Linked DNA regions of Diceros bicornis minor. The protein of the gene in region 3 interacts with the protein of the main gene of each other region in a pairwise test. Links are inferred from orthologs where the notes say so. Each region holds a gene or a part of one and is shown on either strand. Other genes may lie near its edges.

Evidence for each region.
Region 1: the proteins of PSME3 (region 3) and EAF1 interact in binary tests that used the Homo sapiens proteins (3 or more experiments, as listed by UniProt). The two-hybrid records come from large-scale screens. The link is inferred for Diceros bicornis minor from reciprocal best matches to the Homo sapiens genes PSME3 and EAF1.
Region 2: the proteins of PSME3 (region 3) and EAF2 interact in binary tests that used the Homo sapiens proteins (3 or more experiments, as listed by UniProt). The two-hybrid records come from large-scale screens. The link is inferred for Diceros bicornis minor from reciprocal best matches to the Homo sapiens genes PSME3 and EAF2.
Region 4: the proteins of PSME3 (region 3) and PRR13 interact in binary tests that used the Homo sapiens proteins (3 or more experiments, as listed by UniProt). The two-hybrid records come from large-scale screens. The link is inferred for Diceros bicornis minor from reciprocal best matches to the Homo sapiens genes PSME3 and PRR13.

The regions. Positions count from the first base shown.
Region 1 is NC_080741.1:21,906,007-21,913,876, forward strand, and holds the start of EAF1 (ELL-associated factor 1), read left to right. Parts: upstream 1-4,870; 5' UTR 4,871-4,875; coding exon 4,876-5,245; intron 5,246-7,138; coding exon 7,139-7,233; intron 7,234-7,870. Other genes in the region: tRNA N(3)-methylcytidine methyltransferase METTL6, read right to left, coding at 2,478-2,612, 3,621-3,845. UniProt on the Homo sapiens protein: Acts as a transcriptional transactivator of ELL and ELL2 elongation activities.
Region 2 is NC_080754.1:22,795,669-22,803,293, reverse strand, and holds the start of EAF2 (ELL-associated factor 2), read right to left. Parts: upstream 3,016-7,625; 5' UTR 2,958-3,015; coding exon 2,849-2,957; intron 1-2,848. UniProt on the Homo sapiens protein: Acts as a transcriptional transactivator of TCEA1 elongation activity. Acts as a transcriptional transactivator of ELL and ELL2 elongation activities. Potent inducer of apoptosis in prostatic and non-prostatic cell lines.
Region 3 is NC_080757.1:41,839,998-41,847,750, forward strand, and holds the start of PSME3 (proteasome activator complex subunit 3), read left to right. Parts: upstream 1-4,749; 5' UTR 4,750-5,175; coding exon 5,176-5,250; intron 5,251-5,352; coding exon 5,353-5,385; intron 5,386-5,505; coding exon 5,506-5,568; intron 5,569-5,767; coding exon 5,768-5,872; intron 5,873-6,786; coding exon 6,787-6,835; intron 6,836-7,753. UniProt on the Homo sapiens protein: Subunit of the 11S REG-gamma (also called PA28-gamma) proteasome regulator, a doughnut-shaped homoheptamer which associates with the proteasome. 11S REG-gamma activates the trypsin-like catalytic subunit of the proteasome but inhibits the chymotrypsin-like and postglutamyl-preferring (PGPH) subunits.
Region 4 is NC_080756.1:16,847,869-16,854,974, forward strand, and holds the start of PRR13 (proline-rich protein 13), read right to left. Parts: upstream 3,013-7,106; 5' UTR 2,793-3,012; intron 2,787-2,792; exon of another isoform or gene 2,677-2,786; intron 2,635-2,676; exon of another isoform or gene 2,359-2,634; intron 2,187-2,358; 5' UTR 2,167-2,186; coding exon 2,148-2,166; intron 1,768-2,147; coding exon 1,433-1,767; intron 80-1,432; coding exon 41-79; 3' UTR 1-40. UniProt on the Homo sapiens protein: Negatively regulates TSP1 expression at the level of transcription. This down-regulation was shown to reduce taxane-induced apoptosis.

The DNA.
Region 1 (7,870 bases), on a different chromosome or scaffold from region 3:
CTAAAAACCAAAAACATAGTAACAGAGATGAAGAATGCTTTTTTTTTTTTTTTTGGTGAGGAGATCAGCCCTGAGCTAACATCCACCAATCCTCCTCTTTTTTTTTGCTGAGGAAGACGGCCCTGGGCTAACATCCGTGCCCATCTTCCTCCACTTTATATGGGACGCCGCCACAGCATGGCTTACCAAGCAGTGCGTCGGTGCGCGCCCGGGATCCGAACCAGCGAACCCCGGGCCGCCGCAGCGGAGCGCGCGCACTTAACCGCTTGCGCCACCGGGCCGGCCCCCAAGAATGCTTTTGACAGGCTCATCAACAGGAATGCCTACTGTCTGAGATGGGATCAGTGAACTTGACGGTAGGACAACAGAAATTATACAAACTGAACATGCAAGGAGAAAAAAAAGTTAAAAAACAGAAACCAAAACCCAGCATCCAAGAGCTGTGGGACAATAGCAAATGGTATAACATACACATAATTGGAATCCCAGAAGGAGAAAGGAGAACAAGAGCTGAAGAAATATTTGAAGAAATAATGACGAAAACTTTTCCAGATTAATTAAAAAAAATAACCAAATTATAAAAAAAAAAAAATAGGTGACTATTGAACTTCTAAACAAGACATAAAGCCTCAGCATCTCAAAAGGAATAGATAGACAAATGTGACATAATCAAATCCTGTCATACAACAATACCATAAAACAACGCTGAATAAACTGGAAGAAACATTTGCAACAAATATAACAGAATATGCAGAATATATCCTAAAAATTAGAAAAAAAATGACAGAAAAATGGACAACAGTTATGAACAGACAATTCCTACTATAATATAAGTTCCACATGAGTGGGAGTTTTTGTCTGTTTTATTCACTACTTAACCCCAGGGCTCAGAACAGTGACTGGCACATATTAGGCTCTTGATAAATATACGTGGAATAAAGGAACTCACAAGCGGAAGAAAAACCAATGCTTATTTACATATTACAGTCTTCAACATCACTGGTTATAAGGAATAAACAAATTAAAATATGGAGACATTATTTTTTGTCCATAGGTTTGAGAGATATAAAAAAGACTGGTATCAAAACGTTGAGGGCATAGAAAAAGAGGTATCTTTACATAATTGATGAAATTACAAATTGGTATAACTTTCTGGAAGGAAACTTGACTATCTATTAAAATTTAAATGTGTATGCTCTTTCTCCAAAGAATTCTACTTCTTCTATTATTCGCCATACAGAAGTGTATACATATGTTTTGGGGAGCATGTGTATGATGCTAATTACACTAACCCTAATTGTAAGAGCAAAAAATTAGCAATGATTTACACAAGTATCAACAGGGTAATTGTTAAAGTATGGTATATCCATTATATGGTGCACCACAGCAGGTAAATAAAATGTGGTAGACCTACATGTGCTAAGATGGAAAAACTCTGTGAGATATAATACAGAGTGAAGAAAGTTATAGTACAATGTGACACTACTACTAAAAAAAAAAGTCTAATGGATGTTAAAACTGCAAAAAGTTGATAGAAAACTAAATATTTGCACGTTGCCAAAGTGTCCCCCACATATTTGCTAATGGCAAAAGGGAAATATTTGTACAAGGAAGGAATTAGGTAGTTATTACCTTAACCCAGTGATCAAAATTAGCACCACTTACAGTAAGATCACCAGACATTATTGCCTCCTGACAGAATGTAATATGGAAGACACAACATCATTTATTAAAGTATTTTTGCCAAAAATATTTCAACTGATTTAAATCTAACTTCTACTTTTCAGGAAGTACAGAGGATAGAGGAACAAGTTAAACAATGATACAAAGAAACAATCAGACCAAATTGGAATGTGGGACCTCATTATAGAAGATGGCTTGCTCTCCAAAAACTCAAAGTCAGTGGGGGAAAGATCAAGGGGTAGGGAAGGAATGTTTTAGGCTGAGGAGATTTAAGGTACACAATGAAGTGTAAGATGTAGTCCTTGATTAAATACAGCTATAAAAGACACCTGGGACTACTTTGGGAAATCTGAATCTGGACTGGATATTAATGACATCAGGGGATTAGAGTTACTTTGGTTAGATATGATAAGTGTATTGTGGTGATGTAGAAAAAGTTCTTATTTTTTTGAAGATGTATGCAGACATATTTAGGAGTGAAGCATCTTGACATCTGTAATTTAAAATAGTTCAGCAAAGAAACAAGTCTGTAGAACAAATGTGGCAAAATGCTGGCAATCATTAAATCTGGGTATAAGTGTATGGGTGTTGTTATGGTATTTCTTTCCACTTTCCTGAATAAAGCTGTATTTCTATATGTACTATACGTATGTAAACAGGAAAACTATATTCATGGTGATCATAGCTGGTTAGCTTCAGGGAGAGGACTGGAACTGGGCAAATGGGTAAAGAGGGCAGGTCAAACAAATCCAAGAAAATAGAAACATAACAGAAAACATGGATGGTGCACCCACCTTAACATATTCAACTGCTCTTGGAGAAAAATCACAGGCATAGGCAAAGATATTCGGATCTTCTTCCAAAAGTGGGAATAAACAGTTCCCAACCCCACAGCCAGCTTCAAGCATAGTCAATTTTTGATCTTCAAACTGAGGAAAGAGAATCCAAAGTTTCAGTATACTACATTTGCCTAAGGAAGAAACAAACCAAACTAAAAGGTTAAGAACATGAGAGACAAGGTCTCTGCCCTCAGGGAGCGGAGAACAAACAACTGAACTAACAACCAAAAGTTAATACTGATACTTCATCTATTGTCCAACATTCAGCAGTGTGGTATGGAGAAAACAGCATAACAGCTAACAGCACTGGCTCTGGGGCAAAACTGCCTTCACTCAAATCCCAACTCCTCCCCACGCACCACCCCTAACGCTGGACAAATCACTTAAACAGCTTTGCGCCTCAATTTCCTCTCAAGTGGGGATAATACCAATGCCTACTTCAGTGCTATTATAAGGCTTAAATTACAGAACACATGTAAAGTTCTAGAAAAGGGCCATGGTAAAGTGTTCCTCATCATCTTATTGTTATGAATCTGAATCTGTCACTGAAGTCACTCAGTATGAATTACTATTTACAGCTTGCAGATTAGATTTTGAGAAGTTTTGTTTTTTGCTGGGAAAGATTCGCCCTGAACTAACATCTGTTGCCAATCTTCCTCTTTTTTTTTGTTTTCCCCTCCCCAAAGCCCCAGTACATAGTTGTATATTCTAGTTGTAAATCCTTCTAGTTCTATTCTAGTAATCCATCTGTCAGCATGGCTACTGACAGATGGGTGGTGTTAGGTCTGCGCTCCAGAGAACGGAACCTGGGGCGCCAAAGAGTGCATCGAACTTGAACCACTATGCTGTCAGGGCTGGCTCAGATTAGATTTTAAAGAAATGGAAAATGCCCACTAAAGTTCTGTCTCCGATGTATTAACAACCCAGGAACCGCTAACAATACTTGAGACCACACAGTATATTTCTCTCTAAGGTACAAAGCATTTCGACAGGCTTCATAAATTCTCTACTTTACACTCCCCATAGGAAAGCAATAAAGCACCTCTCTAACACACATTTTAAATGAAGAACAGCAAATAAGACGTAATATTGGCTTACCTCTCTACATGATCTGAGCTCCTCAAACTCTCTGGTGGTCCAGTGTCTATCTTTGAAGAAATTAGTACTATTTCTTTTGTAAAAAAGGTCCCAGTTCTTCTGAGCCTCTTTTTCCAGTTTTTGTTGTTTAAAATCAGACACTAAAGCTTGGTCTCTTTTCAGTTTCTCCTCTTCTTCAGAACTGAGGATCCTTGCCTGCAGCCCTTTCTTTTGCGAAGAAGCCATCTCATACGTTGACAGTAATACAGTCAACGCTGCTGAAGATTCTCCATCCCTGAACAACCGGAGGAGTCCAAGTTGATACTGCAGACACAAGCAGGGTTTTCTCGAATTCGGTTCCCCAGGTTGCGTTCACGCCTCAGGCAGCATCACGTCCTTCCAGGAAAAAGAACGAGATTCTGGTTAGTGGTTCTAGACCAGTTCTTTCACCAAACAGTTCAACTCGCCCAACACTCACTACATGCTGACTCTACACCAAACTCTGCCCGCTATACAAGGAGAGGTCACAAAGAGGGCCCAGACACGGTCCCTGCTTTCAGAGGGTTTACATGCAGCGGCCAGAACAATCAGGGACCAAACTCTAATTCAAGCCAGCTTGAGTCAACTATTAGAAGAAATCGGTTTCGTTTAGAAAAAGGACACTCCCAAGAGTTGACTGAGAAATCTTGGGGAGAAAAGACTCATCAATTTTCGTGAAAGGGGTGGCTTAACAACCACAACAGCTGCCTGAACCGGAGGCGGGTGGTCGCCTGCCAAACACAAGTGGGTCATCGTTTCCCAAGGCTGGGAGACTCCTTTTTTCCTGGGAAGATGGAGCGGAGCCCCGGGGGTCGGAGCCCCTGATCGCACCCACAGGGGGCTCGCGCGAACCAGACGGGGCGTCGCTTTCCAGGGACTGAGCCCTCGCAGCGCCGGCACGGCGCGAAGGGGAGAAAGAGACCCAGCGACGCGGGCGTAGAGTCCCAAGAATCCACCGTCTTAGGACACTGGGGATAGACTGGGCCGCCCGGGCCGCCGGGGCCTGCGGAGAGCCGGCCGTCCCGGCTCTCGGCCCCGCGCTGGTCTGCTCCGCCGCGCTCCGGGCTCACCGTCATCAGTTCCCAGCTTCACCCAGAGGGCAGGGCCGGGCGCACTCAGCCTCAGCCCGCCCCGGCCTCGGACGCCGAGCCGGGGGGGCCGCCGCGGGAAACCCCCGACCCGGGACAGCCAGCCTTGAGACCCTCGACCTGAGAGTCTCGGGCTGGATTCTGTTGTCATGGCACCGCCCCCGCCACTTCCGCTACGAACCCAGAAGTCCCTCCCCGGCGCCGGAAGTACCGCCGCCTCGCTTCCTCAGAGTCTTCTCCCACCCCGACGCGGAGGGACCGGCTGGCTTCCGGCCCCGGGTGGGCGCCGGCTCGGCTCCCCTTACGCTCCGGAGCGGTGTCCCGGGAGCACCGTCCTGCCGGACGCCGGCGCCGGAAGCTCGGGCCGCGGCCGCGCCTGGGGAGCGCCGGTGCGGGCGCGAGGCGGGTGCGGGGCCATGAACGGGACCGCGAACCCGCTGCTGGACCGCGAGGAGCACTGCCTGCTGCTCGGGGAGAGCTTCGAGAAGCGGCCGCGGGCCTCCTTCCACACCATCCGCTGTAAGTCTGCGCGCCCCGCCGTTCCCTGCCCCCGCTCCGGCCGCCTCTGCCAGCCTCGCTCCCTCCTCTCTGCCCTCGGCCCGTCGGAGCCCAGGGACCCCTGCCCGCGTCGGCTCCCTGCTCCCGACCCCGGCTCCTCCGGGACCTCGGTTTTCTCCCTTTTTTTCTAGCTTTCTCCTCCCAAACCAAACCCTTCGTCTCTCCCAACACCTCTTCTGCCTCGTGGTCCCAAACGCTTTTTCCGAGGGTCATTGGCCCCTTTCTCTTCATCCCCCCACCCAGGCCTTCCTTGTGCCCAACCTTCCCCCTCTTTATTACCGGAAGCCTGTGACCCCGCATCAGACTCAAGTTCTTCTCTCTCTGATCCTCTCCGCGTTCGGATTACCCACCAGGGTTCTCCACATGTAAAGGACTCCTGTTTGCTCGTGAGCCTCATCCACTTCCTCCTATTCCATTCTCTCCTTGCCATTTGCCTCAGCTTTCCTTCCTCGTGCGTCTTAGTTCTGGCCACCCTGACCCTGCGCTGCATCCCCTCTGCAGCCAGAGTCGGCATCCTCTCTGCGCCCAGCAGTCCTCCTCCGTCTGCGTTCCCTGCCTCTTTTGAGGTCGCCTGTACTACCCTGACTTTTCCTCTGGACCAAGTCTCTTGTGTGAAGAATAAAATTAGAATTTGTGAGCCTAGAGTAAGTTAAAGCTTGCTCTATGTTTGGAGGCAGAAGAGAGCACGCGTAAGGAATGTCAAGCTAGTCATTACGCTGAACCTTCTTTTTCTACATGATTAGAGACTGTTGAGGGAGGGCACTTCCACTCTGTCCTGGGTAAAGACTTGGCTGTTAGGAATTGGCTGACTGAGCATCCGTCTGTGATTCACAAGCTCTTGCTTCCCCGTCTTGGTAGCTGTAATGCTGGGTGAGACTTGTTTTAGTCAAAGGAGCTAATAGATGTGACTCAACACCTTGGAAGAGGGCGTGTTAGATAATGAAGTTCCATCTTTGTATGGTCACTTGCCACGCCATTACTTTGCTTCTTACTGACAGCAGATCAGCTCTTTAAGAGGGAGGATGTTGGGAATGTGATAAGAGCATCATCTCCTGAGCAGTTTACTAAGTTGATGTTTTAGTAGGGTAAAGGGCAATGTGGAATTTAAATGAGACTTCACATATGCACCTGGCCTTCAGTTTGAGGCAGGTGTGTGTTAAAATGGAGTAAGATGGCTATTCATGTTGTACTTTAACTGCAATTCAGCAACATGGGCAGGATTTAACCCTTGGAGATACAGTTCAACTGTCTGCTCCAGACATCTGCAGGACGTAGCATTTGTTAAAGCTATGGAACTTGACTGTGGCAAATCCTAACTTTGACACTTCTGTGCAAAATGAAGTCACTTATATGATGCTGTGGCCTTTCATATTTCATATAGGGTTTTACTATTACAGAATCCTTTTGATATGCTCAGTTTCTTTTGATCCTCACAACAACCCTAATAAAACACCTTATTATGGATAATAAGGCATCAATTTTCATCTATCACTTGGGAGAGGAGAATGTCTTTGCTTAATAAAATGGTATATAAATTTTAGCTTTTTTTTTCCTTCAAAAGAATCCAGTGAGGATGGAGGAAAAGTATGTGGAGGTATAGATGAAATAAGATTGTCCCTGAGTTGGTAATTATTGAAGCTGGGTGATGGTACACAGGGGCTCATTGTACTCTTCTCTCTGCTTTTGCATATGTGAAGTTCTGCACAATGCAATAGTTTGTAATAAATTCTAAATTATTAGTACTTTCCATTTACCTGAGTAATAAAAAAATTTTAACTCTTAAAGTGAGTATGCCCAGGAAGCCCTTAGTATAAGTAACCTGGTAAATAAATGCTTTTATTCCTTTCTCTTCAGATGACTTTAAACCAGCATCTATAGACACTTCCTGTGAAGGAGAGCTTCAGGTTGGCAAAGGAGATGAAGTGACAATTACGCTGCCACATATCCCTGTAAGTTTATTCCTTCGTTGTTGTTGTTTTGTGAGGAAGATCAGCCCTGAGCTAACACCTGATGCCAATCCTCCTCTTTTTTTCTGAGGAAGACTGACCCTGAGCTAACATCCGTGCCCCTCTTCCTCCACTTTATATGGGACGCCGCCACGGCATGGCTTGACAAGCGGTGCCTCGGTGCGCGCCCAGGATCTGAACCGGCGAACCCCGGACCGCCGCAGCGGAGTGCCCGCACTTAACCACTTGCGCCACCGCGCCGGCCCCTGTTGTTGTTGTTTTTAATGTGGCATCACAGTGAATCCTCGTGTTCTGTTATCGCAATTTGAATTTCCACTATTTAAAAATTTCTAGATTTCAAAGTGCCAACATAAGGAAAAAAAGAATTTTGGGGATAGGGTGAGATGGAATTTATGGTTCCCAGGTGCTTGAGTGAAAAATGATTCTTTGCCATTTTCCGCAAGCTCCCTTTTGCCCCATTTGCTACAAAGTAGCCAAGGTTCCTATCAGGACACCTAGCCCCTCCTTTAGATGTGCGTAGCTTTTCCCCCAAGCAGCTCCTAGAGCCCTAGGTGCCATGTTGACGTATAGCAACAACAGTTTAGAAATCTGGGGCAGCCAAGCCAGAGTGAAGGCAGGC
Region 2 (7,625 bases), on a different chromosome or scaffold from region 3:
AACCACCTTTTGGGGAGTGGCTCCACTTGACACCTCAGACAGCCTTCCTGTACTCACTGCCCATGAGTTCATCATTTCATGACAGCAAAAAGTGGTGTCATTTACAAACTTAAGAATTTCAACATTTATTCCTTTATCTGCATATAAATTGTAAAACTAGCACTAGCCCAAATCGAAAATTTATTCTAGTGGGTCCTGTTACTCAAACTCTTCTACCCAGTGAAACATTTGTTGCTAAGCATTTAGCTTATCATTTATAGAACATCCCATGTCTTCCCTACCACATGCTAGCTATCTTTTTGACAGGTTTTATCGCCAAGCCCTGATAAATGCTTTTTGGAAGTCTAAGTAAATTACATTCATTGGCACTCCTCATATACACATGAATATAACCCTTCAAGAATAATGGTAACTACTATTTATTCTCTACCATGCACCAAATACTGTGCTAGGTTGTTTCTGCTATGTTATTTAATCCTTAAAAACTTTGAAATGTTGATATTATTATTATCATTTTACATATAAGAAAACTGAGGTTGAGAGCTTAGAGAATGTTTCCAAAGTTACACTACATATATAGGTGGTGGAGGCCAGAATTCACATTCAGGTTTTTTCAAAGCCTCAGCATATTGGACAGTCTTTACCTCTATACATAAAGATAGAATTTTACTTCCTTGCAGATTACATTGACTTCAGTGTTTGTTATAAATTAGGTCCATCTGCTCTGTATGAAAGTCAGATTTCCTATTCTATCGTTTCCATCCCTCACTCTGAGTCCTTAAGAGTGAGGATCATATGGGAAATGAACCTATCCTCAAGGATAATGACTAGTATTATTTAAATAAATTTAGAAATATTCTGCCTGCTTCAACAATAAGAATAAAACTAAGGCCTGAAAACCTTTCTAATGTCTTCCACAGGACTAAGAGTGTATTCAAACCTCTGGGTTTATTGTGGTTGTTATTACTGCTGTTGTTTTGCTTATTTTTGTTTATTTTCATTCTTGTAGTTGGATCATCTGATTCTCTGACTCTGAAGACACAATTCCAGCATTTTGAGAACTTTTATAAATGAAAGGTTCTGAAGCACCTGCCAAGTGTTTTTCAAAGGCTTTTTTTAATTCACTTAATTTGGGGTTCATGCCCTTAAAAAGAGAATATATACCTGAGTTATATGAAAATATATTCTTGAGCAAATTTTTTTTTTTTTGGTGGGGAAGATTGCCCCTGAGCTAACACCTGTGCCAATCTCCCTCTATTTTGTATGTGGGACGCTGCCACAGCATGGCTTGATGAGCAGTGTGTAGGTCCACGTCCGGGATCCAAACTGGCGAACCCTGGGTCGCCGAAGTGGGGTACGCGAACTTAACCACTACGCAACTGGGTCGGCCTCTGAGAAATTTTTATAATCTTAAAGTTTGTAACTTGAAAAATTAATACTAAAACTACTGCATACCTGAGAAAGAAGAGGAAAGGAGAGAGGAGATATTATTTGAGAGAAAGGCATGGAGAAACCAGATAAGAACTATATCATACTTTTGGAAAATGGGACTGAAGGAGAGAAACTGCACAGCCAGCACTAGCTGTCTCACTGTGGGGATCCTTGGATGAGAGTTAGATAAAGAAGAATAAACCAGAGACACTGTTGAAGATCTTCTGTTTGCAAATACCTCCCTCATTTATTCTACCAATTGGATATTAATTTTGCTTAATAAAACCCTTTTATAAAATGTAAATATATCCTTGGAAAGTTCAACCTATTGGTTCTTCATACCTTTACTGTGAGTTACTATCATTAGATTATCTAAAACTTAAGTAAACTTTTGGAGAATGTGAGTTTTAATTGGGTGTTTTGATGGAAGCGTGGAACACTTCCGAATAAAAACCATAGAGATCTGTGGACAGTCTAAGGGCAGAATGACTGAGAAAGGTGGAATGATGAGACACAAAGGAATGGCAGGGCTGGGGAAAGGAAGTGAAAAACTACCTACTTCACAATTTTGCCACAGAAAAATAAGAGGTTATGATTCAATGACCTCAGAGTTTCCTTTCCGCTCTATAATTCTATGAGGGCTATTATGCAAAGAAGGAATGTTTTACATGCCAAATCATAATATGCTACATTTTCCTTCCTGGAATCTACACCATCCAACTATTAAAGCAAAAGAGCTCCCTTTTCCACCTCAACAACACAAAAAAGAATAATTTATCAAAACTAGTCCCAGAGGACAACCAAGAGAAAATCAAAAGAAATCATAGGGAGGTTAAGTATCTTTTTAATGAAGAAATTAAAGACACACCCTCCAACACTTTGATAATCAGTATTTGATAAGTGACTGAATGAAATCAGGGGTCCAAAAGAGATACAGATCAGAATGGTTCAGAATCTCACCCCAGGAACACACTAAATAAGAACCTCATCAGCCAGAGACAGAAAAAGTGAAGAAGGGAGAGAATATTTCCCCACCAGCCCCAGGCATTCTCTGCCCCCTGCATAATAGTTGGGTTCTTTGCTCTCTTCCATTTGCCACATTATTTTCCTTTCCACCTCTGCATCATCCACCAGTCACGCCTGTCTCCACAGTCACCCATGCAGACCCTGTCCACAAAGTTTCCTTTTCTGCCTGTTGGTCTCACTTGAATCTCTCTGCCCAGGGTTTACCCACACCTGCTCGACTCCGGCTCCTTCCACTGACCTTCTAGGACCTCACGGAGGGCAGCGGATCGCGCTGGCACCCCATTCTCCAGCAGAGGAAGGAGGTCTGTGGGAACACAGCTCAGAGAGGTCTGTGCCTTCACACCCCCATACCCAGAGCTCCCCCTCTTTCCCCGGGGTCATCCTCACTCACAGCGCACAGTGTGGAAGGCGCAGCGCGGATACTTCTCGAAACTCTCGCCTAACTTGAGAACCCGCTCGCGACTGTCAATGCGCGGGCGTCCCCCTGTTCCATTCATCATTATGCTCGGGCTCCGACTTGGCCTCCACTCGCGCCGCTCGCTACCATCTGCCACCTCAGCCTGAACCAGCTGCACTTGTTGCGGCCCGCCCAGCCACCACGGACTCCGCCCCCCGCCCGACGCGCGCGGCCCCACCGGGCGCTTCTCGCGTGCGATTGGTTGCCTGGCTAGTGGCGCCCCGCCCCTTGGCTCCGAGGATCGTGGTCCCGCCTCCAGGCCCATTCCCGCGTTGCGACGCACGCCGTCCCGGGAAGCCGCGCAAGGGAGGTGGGTGGTGGGAGCGGGGTGCTTTGGTGGAGGAACGCCGAGCGAGCATGAGGTGACCGTCCGAAGTTGGCGGCTGGGGAAGGAGAGGGCCCCGGGATAGCGGCAGGCCGGCACCCCAAGGTTTCTGGGCCAACTGACCCGGCACGTAGGGGCTCTTAACGGGAGAATCGGCGTGCTCCACGCCCTTTCTGTGGAGATCTGGTGTGGAAACTGAGGCCCGGGGAGGGGCGGAGTCTGGGCACAAGGCCTGGCGTCTTGCCCAAGGCCTGGTAGCGCCAGAGCTGGGTCTAGAATGCCGAGTAAAAGACCCCGCGGCCTCGGAGCCTCGGTCCTTGGACCTGACTGGAGGCGACGCCGTTACCTCAGCAATCGTTTTCTGACCTTCTGTCCCAGCGGAAGTTCCCGGTGGTGTCAGGACCGGGACAGGGGACCGGGAGGGAGAGGAAAAAATGATTCGGAGTTAGGAACTGCAGATGTTTAGGATCAGTTGCAAGTCGATTGCATCGGGTTGCTTCTTTTATTTATTTCCTTCACAGTGATCCGCGGCGGCGGTAACGGCGGTGATCCGTGGAGGCCGGGAAGACGAGGTTCCCAGAGGATCGAGCTCGTGCTCTGGCAACAGGGTAATAGCTTTAATAGTTGAAAACTAATTGTCTTTTTTCTCTGTCAAAAGTTCGTGAGTTCAATGGTAAAGAGGAGAGAAGTGCTGTATTAGAGGAGAAGCGCCCATGAGAAAGTTTACAAATCGTTGCCATATCAGGTGGCGGTCTTTCAGGGTAGTTATGTGATCAGACTCTACTCCTTCACTGACCTTCTGCCTTAGCCAGATTTGTCGGTTTATCGTTCCAGGCGGGTAGATGGATGTGTCTCCCGCAACCTCTCTGCTTGTCTTAATTCTGCTCTTTTAAGGGGTACTCTGTTTCATGTGGTAGTTAAGCGCTCAGCTTCTGGAGCCAGAATTTTTGGACTTGAACCTCAGCTTCATACTGTATAGTGTGACTTGTGCAAACCAAAGTTAAGTATGCTCGTCATTAAAACTGGGGGAAAAATAATAGTACTTATACCTGAGAGTTGGTGAGAGGGTTAAATGAGTTAATACATGAAAGCGTTTAAAACAGTTCATGGCATATAGTAAAAGCTTTCCAAATGGTTATTATTGAGGCTTAACTCTGCTCTCATGCAACATTTTAGGACCATCCGTGGTGGCTGCCTTCTCTTCTAAATCTTGAATTATTCTAGGAGGTAGGAATTGCTATTTTGTTTACTTTACAGCTAAGAAAACTCGTTCAGGGATGCCCAGTCCACCAACTCTGTGGTTTGTATTCTTATTGTCTGTGTCATCTATTTGGCACGTAACGCTTTTTATATAATTATTTTACATATATGTATATATGTGTGTGTGTATACTTTTCTTTCCCAACCAGAACATGAGCAGGGCATCTGTCCTATATAAAATCTTTGTGACGCTTGCATCTAACATAGTGCCCTACACACATGTGGTGATAATGACAATATTTCAGTGATGTTTCATTATGTTAGCCAGAGAGCAAGAACAGTGTTTCAAGTCGATTTTACCTTAAAAAGGCTTCCAATCAGAAATCTGAGGTTTCCATTTTGTGACAAGGAGAAAAGCAGAGGGTCAGGAAATTGAGTTTTGGAATGCTCAAAGTTTGTGCAATTATTCATTCTTCCAACATGTATTTATTAAGTACCTACCACAGGCCAGGCACTAGTCTAGCCTCTGGGAATGTAGTAGTGAACCAGAGAGATAAGAAGACAACCAAGGATGGTATGAATTCTGCCCTTGTGAAGCTTACTTTCTAGTATGAATTTTCTCTAAACATATATTAAAATGAATTCTGTTGTACTAGCCCAGAAATAAACAAATAGATTAATGAACTAAATAGATTCTAAAAATATGCCCAAGTGACATTTCAGATTGCTTCTATTATATCTCTTCATGAGAAATTACCTTAGGAATTTCTGACAGCTATGTGCATTTGTTCTTTTTTCACCAATCTGTAACCTCATCTAACTTGAAAAAATTTAGATTTCTTACACCATTCACAAAAATAACTTACATGTGTATTGAAGATATAAATAAAGATATAAGTAAATGAAGGTAAGTAAAACAAAACTATAAAAACACTAGAAAAAATTAGGAGAATATATATTAGCACTTAGGGTAGGGAGAACCTTTCTAAGCATGACACCAAAGGCAGAAGCCATAGAGGTAAAGATTGTTATACTTGACTATAAAAAATTTGTAAAACTATGGTAAAGCCACTATAATCAAACTTAAAAAATTATATGACAGACAAGGAGAAAGTGTTTATAGCCAATATAAAGGATAAAGAGTTCATATCCCTGTATGAATAGATTAAAGCTTCTGTGAAAGAATAAGACAAGCTGATAGAAAAATTGTTAAGAGATATGAATAGAAAATATATGAAAGAAGAAATGGCCAGGGAACATGAAATGTGCCTAACCTACTAATAATCAAAGAAATACAAATTAAAACAAGATGATACCATTTTTCATCTAGTGGATTAGCAAAAATGTAGAAGAACATATTATGTATTAGTAAACTTATAGTAAAATGAGCACCCTCATACATTGTTGGTGGAAGTATAAATTAGAACACCCATTTTAGAGAAAAATTTGGTATCATCTAATCAAAATTTTAAAGATATATCCTGTGACCAAGCCATCCAACTTCAAGGGAAATTCACTCTACCAGTACTAGCATGAGTGCCTAAACACATGTACATTGATATTCATTGCAGCATTGCTTGTGATAGTGTACACTGTGAATGACTTCCAGTAGACAGGATGTTTAAATACATTTTGATACACTCTTAACAAAGGAAGCATAGCAGAATGCAGCCATTCGAAAGAATGAGATAACTCTCTATGTAGTCTCTTGGAAAGTTATATGCCTACTATGTGCCAAGAGTTGTGCTGGGCTTTCTTTAAAATATTTCCAGAAAACTTGTTTTTTAATGATTTATATTTTACCTAATAAGGGATGATTTTTGGATGCATGTATTAGGCCAACTCGTCAATATAAAGGATGGGCTGTGGTGCCAGTTATGAAGAATAATAGATAAAAAAGTGAGTTAGAAGTAGGTCACTTGGGAATATGTTTTGTGTTTTTTACTGTTTTACATGGGAGGGAATATAATGAACATTGTAATGAAAACCACAGACTTTGAAGTCAGACTGATCTGAATTTGATTACTGACTCTACCACATGCAGTTGGAACCAGAACAAGTTTGTCAACTTCTTCGAGCTTTATTTTTCTTACCTGTAAAATGGAGATGATTATAGGCTCTACCTCATAGTCCTGTTAGGATTAAATAAGATAATGCATGTAGAAGCACTTAGCACAGTGCTTAGTTCATAGTAAACACTTAATGTATGTTAGCTTTTATTAATTATAGGTAAAGATTATGCTTTTTTTAAATGATGACATTTTGAGCTTTGAATGCCTTAAATTAAAACTTTTTATAAAGAAAAGTTTTAGAAACAAACTGAATCAGGATGTGGATTTTTTTTTATTTTAATATAATTGATTTTATTCACTATGCTGTTTATAAGCAAGCTTTGGTTATCTTATAATTACATAACATTTCTGAGTTTCGTGTTGGAAATCCCCAAGACCAACCCCAGTTTCAGTGATTTGCTAGAAGGGCTCACAGTTCTCAGGATATGTAGTCATTCACAGCTGTGATTTATTACAGTGAAAGAATACATAGCAAAATCAGCAAGGGAAAAGGCACATGGGGCAAAAGCCAGAGGAAAAGAGATGCAGACTTCCAAGAGTCCTCTCCCAGTGGGATCACATAAGACACGCTTAATTCCTCCTGCAATGAATTGTGACAACATGTTGAAGTGTTGTCTACCAGGGAAGCACACTAGGGGTTCAGTGACCAGAGTCTTTATTGGAGGATGGTCATGTAGGCATCCTCTGCTGTTATGTACCATTCCAAATTTCGGGAAGGAAAGCAGGTGTTCATCATAAACCACATTGTTTTTACAAACAGTTTAAGCACAGTGAACCACTCTTATTAGGGAATGGTGGAAACCCTCCTGAAATCCAAGTTCCTAGACACCAGCCAAGGGCAATCTTGTAAGGAGCTGTTTGAAAGGATAGCAGTCTCAGGCCTGTGTTAGCTCTTTTCTGCACAGTTTCTCTCTTATGATAAAAGAAAATTCCTGTTCTAGGATTGTTGTGCCGACTAGAGAGAGTGCATGTGAAGCACCAAACACAGTTCCTGACTCTTAATGAGTGAATAATAAATAACACTGTAACTGTTACTGTAAGGTATAAGGGTCTCTAGCTCTTTTAGAGGTACACTAGTTAGAAAAACAAGAGTTTTCTGTAAGGAAGAAATGAA
Region 3 (7,753 bases):
GGGATTCAGGAGGGCCTCTGTTAGCTGGGAAACCATTGAGGGTGAGAAGCAGGGGGAAAAATAAATAAATAAAATTAAAAAAAAAAAAATTTGTTCCTAGAGTCAGGATTTCTGGGTCACAGATATATATACATACATATATATATATATACACATATAATTTATTCAGCTTTTTTTTTTATTTTATTTATTTTACTTTTTTCCCCCAAAGCCCCAGTAGATAGTTGTATGTCATAGCTGCACATCCTTCTAGTTGCTGTATATAGGACGTGGCCTCAGCATGGCCGGAGAAGCGGTGCGTCAGTGCGCGCCCGGGATCCGAACCCAGGCCGCCAGTAGCGGAGCGCGGGCACTTAACCACTAAGCCACAGGGCCGGCCCTATTTATTCGGCTTTAGTAGATACTGCCATTCTTGTGGTTGACATATTAAAAGATAATTAAATCTTGGGTGCTGAGTAGAGACTAGACTGTGGGGGGGAGGTAGGGGGTGGCAAGAGTGAAAAGGGAGAGACCAGAGAGGAGTCTATTGTAATAGTCCTAGCGAAGGATGACAGTGGCTTTGACTAGGATACCAAGAGAGGAGATGGAGAAAAGCATACTTATATGGGATTCATTATACAGGTAAAGCTGACAGGACCCGCTGATGGATTGAACGTGGGGAGATAAGGGAAAGAGAGGAATCAAGGTTGATGTGTTTGGTTTGAACAAGTCGGTGGACAGTTGCATTGGTAACTGAGATGGGGCAGAGCAGGAAAATAACAGCTGTGTAGCAGAATCAAGAATTCTGATTTGGCCACGTTATGTTTGAGAGGCCTATTAACTGTGTAAGTAGAGATATCAAATAGACAGAGCTCAGTGAAGATGTCAGGACTGGAGATATCAATTTAAGGCCATCAGCATACAGACGGTATTAAAAGCTATGAACACAGGTGATAACTCTTAGGAAGAAAGTGTAAGTGGAGAAGAATAAAGGACATAAGACTGAGCCCTGGAGCATGCCATCATTAAGAAGTGGAGCAATGGAGGAAGAGCCGGCAAAGGAAACAGAGAAGTCACCACTGAAGTTAGAGGAAAATTGGAAGAACAGGTTGCTGTGTATGTTTTAAGAACAGGGATGGTTAACGTGTTGAGTGCCACTGAGAGGTTCAAGTAAGATGAAGAGAGTTGACCGCTGGTGCTGTCAACATGGAAGTCATTGGTAACCTAACGAGAATTACCTCAGTGAGAACAGGGGGTGGGAAAGCCTGATTGGAGTGGATTGAAGTAAACAGGAGATGAGGAACAGAGTAAGAGACAATATCATTCAAGAAGTCTTGCCATGAAGAAGAGCACAAACATGGAGCGATAGCTAGAGAGGAACCTGGGTTCAAGGGTGGGTTTTCCTCAAGATGGAAAATATCTGTCATGTTTGGAAATGATCCAGTAGACAGGGATAAATGTAATATAGTAAAGAGAATAGATAATCACTGGAGCACAGACTTTTAGAAGGTGAAAGGGGATGGGATCCAATGCACAAAAGGAAGAGTTGAGTTTTGATGGGAACAGAGATGTTTCCTTCAATGAAAGAGGACGAAAGGCAGAAAGTAATTGCAAGCTAGCAGATTTGGTGGCGAGATGAAGTTCTCATTTACTTCTGTTTTCTCAATGAAGAATGAGCCAAGACCATAAACTAGAGGTGAGAGGGGAGGGATACTGGAGGTTTAGGAAGATGAGAACATATGATAGTCATTTTGAATCTGGGAGAGTAAACTTGTCAGGAACATGTAGTAGGCTCCCAGGCAGCGTTGTGCACCCATCTGAGATTTGTGGACATGCATTTAAAGTGAGACCATGGGGCCAGCCTGGTGGCATAGTAGTTAAGTTTGTGCACTCCACTTGGGTGGCCCAGGGTGCACAGGTTTGGATCCCAGGCACGGACCTACGCACTGCTCATCAAGCCGTGCTGTGGCCTCATCCCATATACAAAATAGAGGAATATTGGCACAGATGTTAGCTCAGGGCTAATTTCCTCAGCAAAAACAGGAGGATTGGCAATGGATGCTAGCTCAAGGCTGATCTTCCTCACCAAAAAAATAAACAAATAAATAAATGAGACTAGTCATCAGTGATCACATTTTGATTCATAAGCACCCTGGAATGAATAAAGTTTATTAAATATAGTGGTGCCCTCAGCAATTGTTCACTGAATAAATAAATAAACAAATGAGTGGAGTATTATATAAAATGTTTGGATGGGGAGGAGGAAGAGAAATAAAGAAGGAATGTGTATCTGTCTTCTTACAACTTACTTGAGGGAGACAAAACATGATTATTTAAGAACAAAGCCATATTTCAACAAGCGCAAACACATTAAGTTTTCAAGTTGAAGTTACTAATTCTGAAAGAAATGAAGGATAATGGCATACTTAAAATAGGATGAAGTTAATTTGGGAAAGCATTCCTGAAGTTAAGTTCCAGATCAGAGTTCAAAAGTTACTAGGGACAATGTTAACAGAAAGCAGAGGTAAAAGGGGGAAAACCGTTACACGTTAATGAGCAAGATGGGTAGTATAGGCTATGTTGTATGCAGCCTTGAATAAGTGGAAAAGTGCTTTGAGTTTGAAAGCAGGGATGATGATAATTACGTAGTTTAAGGAGTAACCTCCTCATGCTAAGCACTAACAGGTAGCTTATCCGACAATGGCTACTATTTATCTAGTGCCTTCCTTGTGTCCAGGCACTGTGCTAGTTCTTTTACATATATATGATTTCCAGTAGTCACAACAACGCTACAGAATTACATATTATTTACTAACAATGATTAAAATTCTATTTTACAGATGAGGGAATTGAGACTCAGTATTTCAGTATTTTTCCAAGATATCACAATAAGAAGCTGAGGTGGGATCTGAAGCCAGGTCTCTCTGATTCCAAAGGCCATAGTCAGTCGCACTTCATTTAACTGTGTATTCCCACCATATCCCTTGCTCTTAGCACAGAGGCCTGCCCAGGACAAGTGTTCAGCCACAAGAGTGACCCCAAAATGTAAATCAGATGACCTGCCTTTGCACTTAATCAAAGTTATTTCCTAACAACCCTCCCCACCCCATTCCCACTCCCACCCCCAGCCCTAGCTCACTAACCAGTTTTTCAACTTCTTCAACAGGACATGTTTCCTTCCCCAGGGCATCTGCCTGTGCTGCATCTTCCCAAGGCTCTTCCCCTCACTCTTCCCAAGCTAGCTCTTTTATATCCTTTAGATTTCAGCTTAACTTCATTGAGAGGACTTCCTTGGCCATTCTATCTAAAATAGATTCCTAGTACTCTCTACATCAGTCATTTGTTTCCTAACATTTATCAAATTTTGCAATTATGTTGAAGGTTTACTTTCTGGTGCCTTTCTCCAGTATTAAGACCCATGAGACCAGACAATTTGAGTCTTTTTCATCTTTGATTTCCCAGAGCTGTGCTGTTCAATACAGGAGCCACTAGCCACATGTGGCTCTAGAGTACTGCAAATGTGATGCCTCTGAATTGAGATGTGCAGTAAGTGTAAAATTCATACCAGATTTCAAAGACTTGATATGATATGAGAAAAGAACGCACAAGATCTCATTAATATTTTTTATATTGATTACACGTTGAAATGATAGTATTTGGATAAACTGGGTTATAAACATGATCAAAATAAATTTCACCTGTTTTATTTTTTAATGTGGCTACTAGATGATTTTAACTTACGTAAGTGACTCACATTATATTTCTAGACTCCGGGACGGTCCTGGCCCATTTTATTAAGCGAAATAATCAACGTTAAGAGACAGACCCAATGAATGGGTGAGTGAAGAGATAGTCTCTGCATTCCATTAGGAAAGGGATACAGCATTGTCCTCGAAGTCAGGAGATTGGGGCTCTGGTCCAGGATTTACTGGAAACACTGTGTAGCCTTAGACAAGCACTACCCAACTCTGGGCGTCAATCTGCCCATCAGGCAGTTGATCTCTGAGGTCTGGAAGTGTATGAGAATAAGTGGCGGAAAAAGGTGGGGAAGTCTGGTACAATACAACTTGTCTTCTGTTTGGCTTTATCCTAACACTAGAGTTTCGGCCAACAGGAAGCGGCTGCAGGAATCGCAGACTAGACCCCCTGAACCCAGCGCCGCGACCGCCGTCTTCCTCGGGCCGACGTCACCGGTGCGCGACGGCGTCGTCGGTACTGTCAAGGCGGCCGCGGCTCAAAAGGTTCCCTCGGTGAAGGCGAGCGCTCGAGTCTGTGAGGCTCAGTTCTCAGTAAAGCACCCTCCGCCGCCCTCCCTCTTACCTCACTCCTCCTGGGAACTAGAGCCAGGGAGACATAAGCCGGGCCCACAGCGTCCGGAGCCGAAACTCAGCGCGGCTGCGCACGGCACGTGCGCATCCTCGCCGGAGTCCCGGCGATTGGCTGTGACGTAACTTCCGGCGTGAGCGGCGAAAGCCGGGAGGGCGAGCGAGAGAGCCAGCAGGCAGCGGGCGGGCGGCACGGAGGAACGGAGTCAGCAGTGAGGAAGCCAACGAGGGCGGCCGCGTCCCGAGAGCAGCCGAGATTCCTGCCGTCCCTCTGACCGTGTCCCCGGAGCCCACAGCGCCTCCGGTCTCCAGCGGAACGGACACGGCCCGGCCCGGCCATGGCCTCGTTGCTGAAGGTGGATCAGGAAGTGAAGCTCAAGGTAGCGGCACCGGTCCGGGCCTCCTTACCCCTCGCTTCGATGCCGAGCAGTCTGACCGCCTCCCCACTCCCTGGGAAGTCTTTATCTCCCTGGGGACACCAGCTCTGAGCTTCCGCTCTGCTCAGCCCAGCCCCCCACTCCCGGAGACGCCATCGGTGGAGAGGATAAAATAGGGTGGTCTTCTGTATCCCGTTTGGTGGTGGAGAGCCCCGGGGAGACCTCTGCGAACACGTGGTGGACTCAGTGCTCTAGACTAGTGACAGCTGGAAGTCCCCGAGCCTAGCAACATCGCCGCCGCCAGACGCTGCCCCTGCCCTTGGCGTCAGGCCTGCCTGATATCGTAGGCCAGGTTTGGGTGGGGGTTGGCACGTTTGTGAGGTCACACCTCCCTTAGCTACCTGTCTTTTGTCTGCTCTCAAATTCAGACACAGGGAGAGAGGGAGGGAAGACAGGTGGGTGCTGCCTTCAAAGCCCTGCTTCCCTCTCCTGAGATGGAGAAATGGATCCTCAAAAAAATAAAGTATTTGCAGTCTGGGGGCCTTTCAGCTTCTAATTATAGTTACAAGGTGAGGGAAAGACAGCCGGATTTGGGTTTCCCACTCCAGCCCTTACTTCTGTTGCCAGGTATTGACTTGCTTTTATTGAATTGCTCTCTTTGTTAATTTTAGGTTGATTCTTTCAGGGAGCGGATCACAAGTGAGGTGAGTGAAATAAATAGAAAAATGAGTGTTGGTTAATAGTTGGGACTTTCCAAAAGAAGAGATATCAGAGAGGGACCTTCCCACAATTATTAATTTAACTGTATTTCCCCTCATCTTTAGGCAGAAGACTTGGTGGCAAACTTTTTCCCAAAGAAGTTGTTAGAACTTGATAGTTTTTTGAAGGTGAGAGACCCTTTTCTTTTCCTCAAATTCCCTAATTTTTTTGGCCCTGGTCTTTCTGTCAAATGGGACAAATGATGTGTTGGTTCTGTTTTGTTTTGTACTGTAAAGCATTCTCATTTCTTGCCCTTCAAATGAAATACTTCTTTGTTCATCTTGAAAAGACTAATGTTTGTTTTGGGGGTGGGTGTCTCTCTTTCAGGAACCAATCCTAAACATCCATGACCTAACTCAGATCCACTCAGACATGAATCTCCCAGTTCCTGACCCCATTCTTCTCACCAATAGTCACGATGGACTGGACGGTGTAAGCGTCCTATATTTATCTTTGTGTCCTGAAGCAATAGGTTCTCTGTCCTCTATTTCCTGGTCAGTTTGAGCATGTGCAGAGGGGACAGTGGGATTTGAATCTGAGAACGAGGACTTTTAGAGACATGATGACTACAGTACACCCCCTTTACACCCTGACTTTCATTTCTAGCATGAGGTGAATATGCTAATACTACTCCGTGTTAGAGTGGGTTTCAAATAGGACTAATAGCTGCAGGTTCCCTCAGGTTATCTGGTCTGTCCCCCTGGCTCTAAGTAAGACTTTTCTTACCTGTTTCAATGTCTGGAGTCTTGTTATGGGGTGAGTAGTTCTTGCTATATAACTGCAGTCTCTGTCTTTGCTGTGTATCTTCAGCACCTAATCCTTATCAGTTATATATCCACATTTTCTTATAACACTGATGACACTGTATTGTCTTTTGTCTGCATTACTGTCTCATTGATAGAACTTGTAATTGTGGAAAGCAGAAACTGTCTTAATCATCTTAGTATCCCCAGCACCTAACATTGTTGCTGGTACATAGCAGATGCTCAATACATTTGTTAACTGAATATTGTGTTTCTTTGTGGAACCAGCAGATTTGTACATATTCCCTTAATTATCCGCACCCTGCATTGAATGGTTCATTTTTCCTATTGTTTATAGTATCCACCCCCTCCGCTATATGCTTACTGTGTTATATTTCTTGAAAGCTTGGTCTTCCTACTAGAGTGTAAGTTGCTTTGTGGCAAGGACCTTTTCTTAAAGCCTTGTATGTGCTTAGTAAATTGTGCGTCAATTAATAAGACAACCTGTGGGGTTGAGGAAGGGATTAAACTTGCTAAAAGGTAACTTGTGATGGGGACGTGGATGTTGAGAGCAGGCTAATTCCTGTCTTTCTGTATCCTTAGCCCACTTACAAGAAGCGAAGGTTGGATGAATGTGAAGAGGCCTTCCAAGGTAAGAGCCAACCCCTACTCCCTAGTTTGCAGGATGGATCTGGTGTTCTGCTGGCCAGGAAGCAGGATCTTATTTTATTTCCCAGTGTTAGCATTCCCAAGTTCTCATAACATGGTCATTGTTTAGCACTCTAAACCTAATTTTCCAATAAACAAGAAGGATTTGATTTAGTGTGGACTGCCAAGGGAGAGAGATTGGAGATGGCTACACACTGCAGATCTTTCACAGAAGTTCCAATTCCATGTTATTTTTTCCTCTTCAATAATGATTGGTGTATTAAATCTTTAGAGCATATTTTAATTTCCTTATTCTTCAGACCTTTGGCATACCTTGGACACTCATTTGTTAATCCATACATTCTCTGTTTTTAATTCTGTGGTGGTGTCATGGTTTGTAGATAGGGTTGTGATAGATAAAAGGCAGAAGTCAGGGGCCGGCTTGGTGGCGCAAGCGGTTAAGTGTGCGCACTCTGCTGCAGTGGCCTGGGGTGCGCCGGTTCGGATCCCGGGCGTGCACCGACGCACTGCTTGGCAAGCCATGCTGTGGTGGCATCCCATATAAAGTGGAGGAAGATGGGCACGGATGTTAGCCCAGGGCCAGTCTTTCTCAGCAAAAAAAAAAAAAACAAGACTACTTATAACAAATCTTGGGCCGGCCCCATGGCTTAGCCGTTAAGTGCGTGCACTCCGCTGCTGGCGGCCCGGGTTCGGATCCCGGGCGCGCACCGACGCACCGCTTCTCCGGCCATGCTGAGGCCACGTCCCACGTACAGCAACTAGAAGGATGTGCATCTATGACATACAACTATCTACTGGGGCTTTGGGGGAAAAAAATAAAAATTAAAAAAAAAAAAAAAAAGGCAGAGGTCATAGCATCTCACAGGTCTGGGGAAGAAGAGAGAAGGGTGGGGGATGCTGT
Region 4 (7,106 bases), on a different chromosome or scaffold from region 3:
AGAACTGGAGAGACTTGAGGGAAGGGTCCAGGCCCTGGGTTCAATCAGAGTCACTGCTGGAGGAGGAGGAGGAGGAATGCTGCAAGGGGAAACGGGAAAGGAGACAGCATCAGATCCAAGTGACCTTTGATCACTCCATGGGACATTCTTTGATGCCCCACCCCTCCACCCAAGTGTTTGCTATCTAAGAAAGTCAGGAATCTTGACCCAGACCGTCCCTTAAAGAGCAAAAGCAAGGATCTCCTTCAGCAGTGAGCATACAGGGATGGATTAAACCATCGCACAGAATTTAACATACTGCATTTGGAGCAAGTTTCCAATGTTCTTTACCTGAGCCAGTGCCTAGGCAAGGAATAAATTATATGCACAAGCATAGTAGAGTGCTAGGAAACTGCCACTACCTTATAAATGCTTATTGATTAGCTGCATGAAAAGTTCCTGGTGGCTATGAATCTAAGAAAAGTGAGTAGAATCAGCACCTGTGTCGTCTGCATCTATCTCTTACTTTTTCCTAAGCCCCAACTGGAAGAAATGAGGAAGGTGGGAGAGAAGGCTGGGAGAATCCTAGTCAAGGTTCTTTACATGCATACTCCCAGCCACAACTGTCATTAAAAACATTTTTGAGTCTCTCCAGGGTAATTTCTCCCCCATTCAATTGGTCCTTCTCCTCAGACTTCTACCAAAGATCCAGAACCAGGAACTAGCACCCAAAGCCATAAAGCAAATAAATACTAGGCAGTAAAATGTAAATTAAGGCCTCCTCAAGATCCAGGTTGGTTCAATCCTTCCAGAGTTATCCTGGGAGCTCCTTTTACCCTTGCTAATTAACACTCCTCTAGAATGAAGATACTGAGCCTTAGGGCTGGGAATGAAACTCAGGCTTTGTCTGAGGCTGAGTCACTGACTGCTTTTGTCCTCAGTTTCCCTGCTGGGTAGTAAGACAAAAAGACCCCCATAATGAAAACAATACCCTGAGAGCACTGGAGAGAAAGGAACTCTATGGAACTCGAGCCAGATTATTATCTGTTAATTATTATATAAGACTTTGCTTTGTCAAAGGACTGACCCTATTAATTGACATTTTGACCACCTCAGTGGGAGTGCCCAACTTGCTAAAACATGCATCTGGGGATGTGGGGGCAAAAGTTCTGGGAGAGAGAAAGGCAGATAAGAAAGGCTTTTGATTCTGAAATTTGTTCTAAGGCTCAGCCTCGTCCCTCCAAAATAGAGGGCCCAATTAGCCTAACATTTCTTTTCAAGATTATCAGATTCTTCCCAGTGGGAATCCTTTACAAAGAGGAAGCACCATCTACCAGAGCAACATAATCCCTATCCTGTGTCCTCAGACTGCGAATCCCCCTCGGCCACCCCCTGTCTGCCTAGTCCCTCTGAGGGGGCACTCCTTCCCCACCGGGCTCCAGAGGGCACTCACCTTGCCATGCCTGTGGTGTTTGTGCGCCTTTTTATGAGCTTTCTTCATTTTCTTCCGCATCTTCTTGTCCATCACCATTCCGGGAGCCAAGGGATTGAAAGGAGGCATGCCAGGGCCAGGTGGTGGGAATGGAGGGGGGTAGGGACCTGAGGGTTGGCATCCTGGATACCCTGGTTGTGGCCCAGGAGGAGGGGGCCCAGGTGGGGGGAAAGCTGGATTCCCGGGGGGAGGTCCGGAGGGAGGGGGGCCTGGAGGAAAGGCAGGATTGACATGTGGTGGAGGGGGAGGATGGGGACCTCCAGGGCCTCTGATGTTAGGGGGATGTGGATTTGGCCCTAGTGGAGGAAGCAAAGAATAAAATAAGGTTAGAACTGCCCAGAGCCTCTGACAACAAACAATAACAACAACAAAAACAGGATTACGCTTCTCACTCAACGCGTCCTGAAAGGGAAATAGAAAGGCGAGGAAGGAGAACGGAGGGTAGGGGAGACAAACCTGCCTAGGAGAGAGAAAAGGTAAGGTCCCTGGCAGGGCTGGTGAGACAGGGAGACAGTGAGCTCTAAGCAAAGACGAGAGCACTGGGGCAGCTATGGTCGAAGGACTTTGCTTTTGCGGGTGAGGCTGGAGAGGGGGAGGAAAAACCGACACAAACTTCCTGTTGTGTGGCCCATCTGAAAAGGGGTTAGGGTGGGAGAAGAGACCCCCAAACACTTACCGGCATTGGGATTCCACATGTTCAGGTGTTTCTTGCAGCCTGATGAGAAAGAAATGAAGGCCAAAAGCTGACGGCCCAGAGGTGGGAAGAGGATTTAGAGACCGAGCCCCACCCCAAGGCCTCCGCCCCTACAGCAGGGTCCCAGAGAACTACCACGACACCCACAGAAGAAATGTTTCTTCTCACTCGCTCCCTCGCCCTCAATACCTACTTTATTGCTAGTTCCCTAACCACAGGAAGCCAGCTCCCAGGGCCCCTCCACCTTCCAGCACCTCTGGCCGCAGCTGGAGGTCTCTAACTCCTCCGGAGAGGGGCCGAGTCCGCGAATCTCGCTACCCCCGCTCTCATCTCCCTTGCCGTGACTGAGTCCAGAAGACTTCAACCACCCACAGGCTAAGGAGGATCTTAAACAACTCTACCGCCCCCGGGGAGGGAGACAGGGGGTAGGACCCCCACCCCACGCTAAGAGAAGGACCCACCCCCAAGCGAAAGCAGGAAGGTGGCTCAGGAAAGATCCTCAAACGCCTACATATGTAGACACACCCCTTCCCCGTTAAAAAGGGCAAATGGAGATCCTGGCTCCCAGCTGCGAAGGGACCCCTGACCCAGAAATGGGGAAACGGGGGAATCCAGAAGCCCCGTCACCTTTACACCTCCTGGGCTCGACTCGTCCTTCTCGGTGTCTGCTCTTGCTTCCTGGTCACCCCTATCCAAGGCTTCGGCACCCGCCTCTGCTACCGCCTAGTTGGGAATTACGTGGTCATTCGGCGTGATGATTGGATAACACACTCATCAATAACTCTAGTCCCCACTAGGCTAGAAGGCAACGGTTGCAGTAGGGGCGGGGCGGAGCACTTTAGGGAGAGGCTGGTGCGGAGGAGCAGGTGGGCCGGAATTCCTCGGGGGCGGGGCTCGGAGAGACGGGCAGGGGAGGGCGGAACCAGTTTGTGGGCAAAGTTCCTGAGCTGCTGTGGAGAAACTCAGCCCCTGCCCTCTCGTCTCCTAGCCCAGTGCGTGCAAACCTTGGTATGTGAATACACCGTGATCAGTATTATAATACAGATGTATACAGAGCGCTTAGGGAAGGGCGGGGAGCTGCTAAGTCGCAGCACCAAGCCTCAATATTGCAGCCTCCCTCCTAGTCCCCGGAGGAAGTAAAGAAACATTCTTGACGCAAATACTACAGAGAAGATTTCCTAATCTCTCCTAGGATTGCCTATCTTAATTGCATAGCTCAGCGCTCTGTCCGAATTGCATAAACCAAAAACCAAGAAACCAAGGAAGTCGTCCTGGATGGCTCTCTCCTTCATCTTTCCCCCCTTCCTCTCCAACACCACGAAGTGCCTGTTTTGTCCGCAAATAAATCTGGAATCCCTCCGCTCCTCTCCATCTTCCCAGCTCCCAACCCACTGTCATCTCTCGTCCGGGTTGCTACAATGGCCTCTTTTTTTAAATAACACAATTAACAAGCTTGGTTCAATGAATATATATAGAACCATGGACCCAAAACTTAAAAAATACTCATTCTTCTTAGAACATTTATAAAAATTGGTCTCAACTAATATAATTCAAAATTCAAAGAATTGTGTAATACATACCGTATTCTCTGACGACAATGTAAAATATAAATACAAACATACATCTGGAAATTTAAAAAACCAACAAAAAGTCTTCCAAATAACTATGGGTCAAAGAATAAACCACGATGGAAATTAAATACTTTGGACTAAGCCATAATGAAAAACTTACATCCCAAATTTGTGGGATACAATAAATATGAAGATAAATTTTATACTGAGTTAGTCATCTTAAACTAAAGACTTTGATAGATTTTTTAAATACTTTTTATTATGAAATAATTTTAGACTCACAAGAAGTTGCAAAAATGATAGAATTCCCATGTACCCTTTACCTAGCTTCCCCCAATGATAATGTCTTACACAACCATAGTGTGTTTTGATATATTTTTATATCAGGTTTATGCTGAATATTTGAGATGAATTGGAATATTTTCTGTTTTTTTAAGATCTCGGGCAATTTATATCCACATTATTTCTTTCTTGAAAGATTATTGAGTTTGAAAGAAATTATTGATGTGTCCATATGGGCATGATGTCTTTTAGAAGTTAGATATTTTAAACTTCTTTTTTTTTTTTTTTTGGTGTGGGAGATTGGCCATGAGCTAACGTCCGTTGCTAATCTTCCTCTTTTTGCTTCGGGAGATTGGCCCTGAGCTAACATCTGTGCCCATCTTCCTCTATTCTGCATATGCGACAGCACTACAGCATGGCTTGATGAGCGGTGCATAGGCCTGCCCCTGGGATCCGAACCTGCAAACCGGAAGCCACTGAAGCGCAGCCCGTGAACTCAACCACTACACACACCCGCCCCCGGCGGCCCTGAACTATTTCTTTTTTTAAAGCAGCTTTATTGAGATGTAGTTCATATGCCATACAATTCAGCCATTTAAAGTGTACAATTCAGGGGCCAGCCTGGTGGCGTAGTGGTTAAGTTGGCGCACTCTGCTTTGGAGGTGAGGAGTTCCCTGGTTCAGATCTCGGTGTGGACATACGCACCACTCATCAAGCCACGCTGTGGCAGCCTCCCATAAACTAAAGAGAGGAAGATGGGCACAGATGTTAGCTCAGGGTCAATCTTCTTCACCAAAATAAATAAATAAAGTGTACAATTCAGTGGTTTTTAGCATATTCAAAGCGTAGTGCAACCATCACCATTATCTAATTTTAGAACATTTTTGTTCCCCCTAAAAAAATCTCACGCCCATTGGCAGTCAATCCTCATTCCTCTCCCTACCTCTCCCCCACCCCACCCAAGCCCTAAGCAACCACTAATCAACATTCTGTCTAAACATTTGCCTATTCTAGACATTTTGTATAAATCAAAAATTGTACAATATGTGGCCTTTTGTGACTGGCTTCTTTCACTTAGCATAATATTTTCAAGGTTCATTCATGTTGTAGTATGAGTCAGTACTTCATTCCTCTTTATGAAGCGCTGAATAATATGCTACTGTGTGGATATACCACATTTTGTTTATCTATTCATCAGTTGATGGACATTTGAAATGTTTTTACTTTTTGCCTATTATGAATATTGCTGCTATGAACATTCATGTACAAGTTTTTTTGTGACTATGTTTTCAATTCTATTGGGTATGTACCTATGAGAGGAACTGCTGGGTCATATGGTAACTCTGTGTATAACTTTTTAAGGAACTGCCAGACTATTTTCCAAAATAGCTACACCATTTTACATTCCCACCAGCAATGTACAAGAGTTCCAGTTTCTCCACATCTGTGCCAACACTTGTTACTGTCTGTCTTTGTTGATATAGCCATCTCAGTGGATGTGAAATGGTGTCTCATTGTACTTGACAATGATCTCTTAACAGTTCTGTCAGCATCCACTCTGGCCTTCTTCCAATTCATTCTTCACATTGCAACCTGGGAAATTTTTTTCTAAAGCCAAATCTGCTTACTTGCTTACTTCACCTTACTGCTTCAAATTCTTCAATGGCTTTGCATTATCCTTAAGACAAAGATCAAAACTATTTTTACATGTATATATTAATTTTTGTTGAGTAGGTAATATGTTCACATGATTTTAAAACCAAAAAGGGTAAAGAGGTGGAAAATGAAATTTCCCTCTCACTCTTATTCTTCATCTATCCAGCCTCCCCCAACCCACATAACCCCTGTATTTAGTTTGTTACATATACTTCCACAGTATTTCTTCCTTACAATCAAGAAAATACTGACATAAATTTACATCCCCTCTTTTAAATATAAAAACAGCAAATTATGCAGAGTTTAATTTGCAATGTTTTCCCCCACTTAATATATCTTGGAGCTATTTCCGTATCAGTACATAGAGTGTGCCATCAGTCTTTTTCACAACTGCATTTTATTCTTTTTAATAATGTACATACCAGAATCAATTTAACCAGTCAATCGATATTCGTGTTATTTTTAATCTGCTATTAAAAACAGTGTTGCAATAAGTAACCATATATATATGTCATTTTACATATTTTTACTTTTTATAGATATTGATGAATTACCTTCCGTAGAGGTTATATTTATTTACATTCTCACCAGCAATATATGAGCGTCTGTTTCCCCTAACTCGTCCAACAAAGAAATACTCAAAATCTTTTTACATACTGGAGTGTCTGTGGTAGTCTGGCCCTGCTCCATCTTTGGTCTCCTCTCACACTGCTCACCCCTGGCTTTCTGCCCTCCAGCCCCCAGGCTTCTTTCCTCCCTCCAGATCTTGGTTACTTTTGCAGGAGGGCCTTTGCACTTACTGTCCCTTCAGCCTGGAATGTTCTCCCCATCTCTCTCTACTTTGCCTAATTAATTCCTGCTCATTTATCAGCTCTCAGCTTCAGGATCACTTCTTCAGGGAAGCCTCCTTGACACCCTAGTCAGGTGAGGTTCCTTTGTTGTAGTCTCTGGCACAATCTTGCCTTTCCTTTAGCACACCTATCTCAGTTTATAATTATACAAGAATCAGTAATTACTTGACTAATGTCAGCTTCCTACATTAGACTATAAGCTTCTTGAAAGCAAGGACTGTGTTCATTAACACTTAACTGTTCACACAGTGCCTAATACACAGGAGAGTATCAGTGAATAAATTGTTGAATGAATAACTACATGAATGAATGAATGAATAAACGAATAGACAAAGAAGAACAGAGCATGGTGGTTCTGGAGTCAGTCAGACTGGATTCAAATCCTGGCTTTGCCACTTATTGTGTGATCTTGAATAAGTTATTTAACCTCTTGGACCATCAGTTTCCTCATCTATACAACAGTGGTGCTGGTACCTACCTCATAGGGTGGTTGTGATGAGATAATCATGTATTTGTAACATAATAAGCACTTATTATATGGCAGTATGTATTACTATCATCGTTCTCATTAATATTAAGAA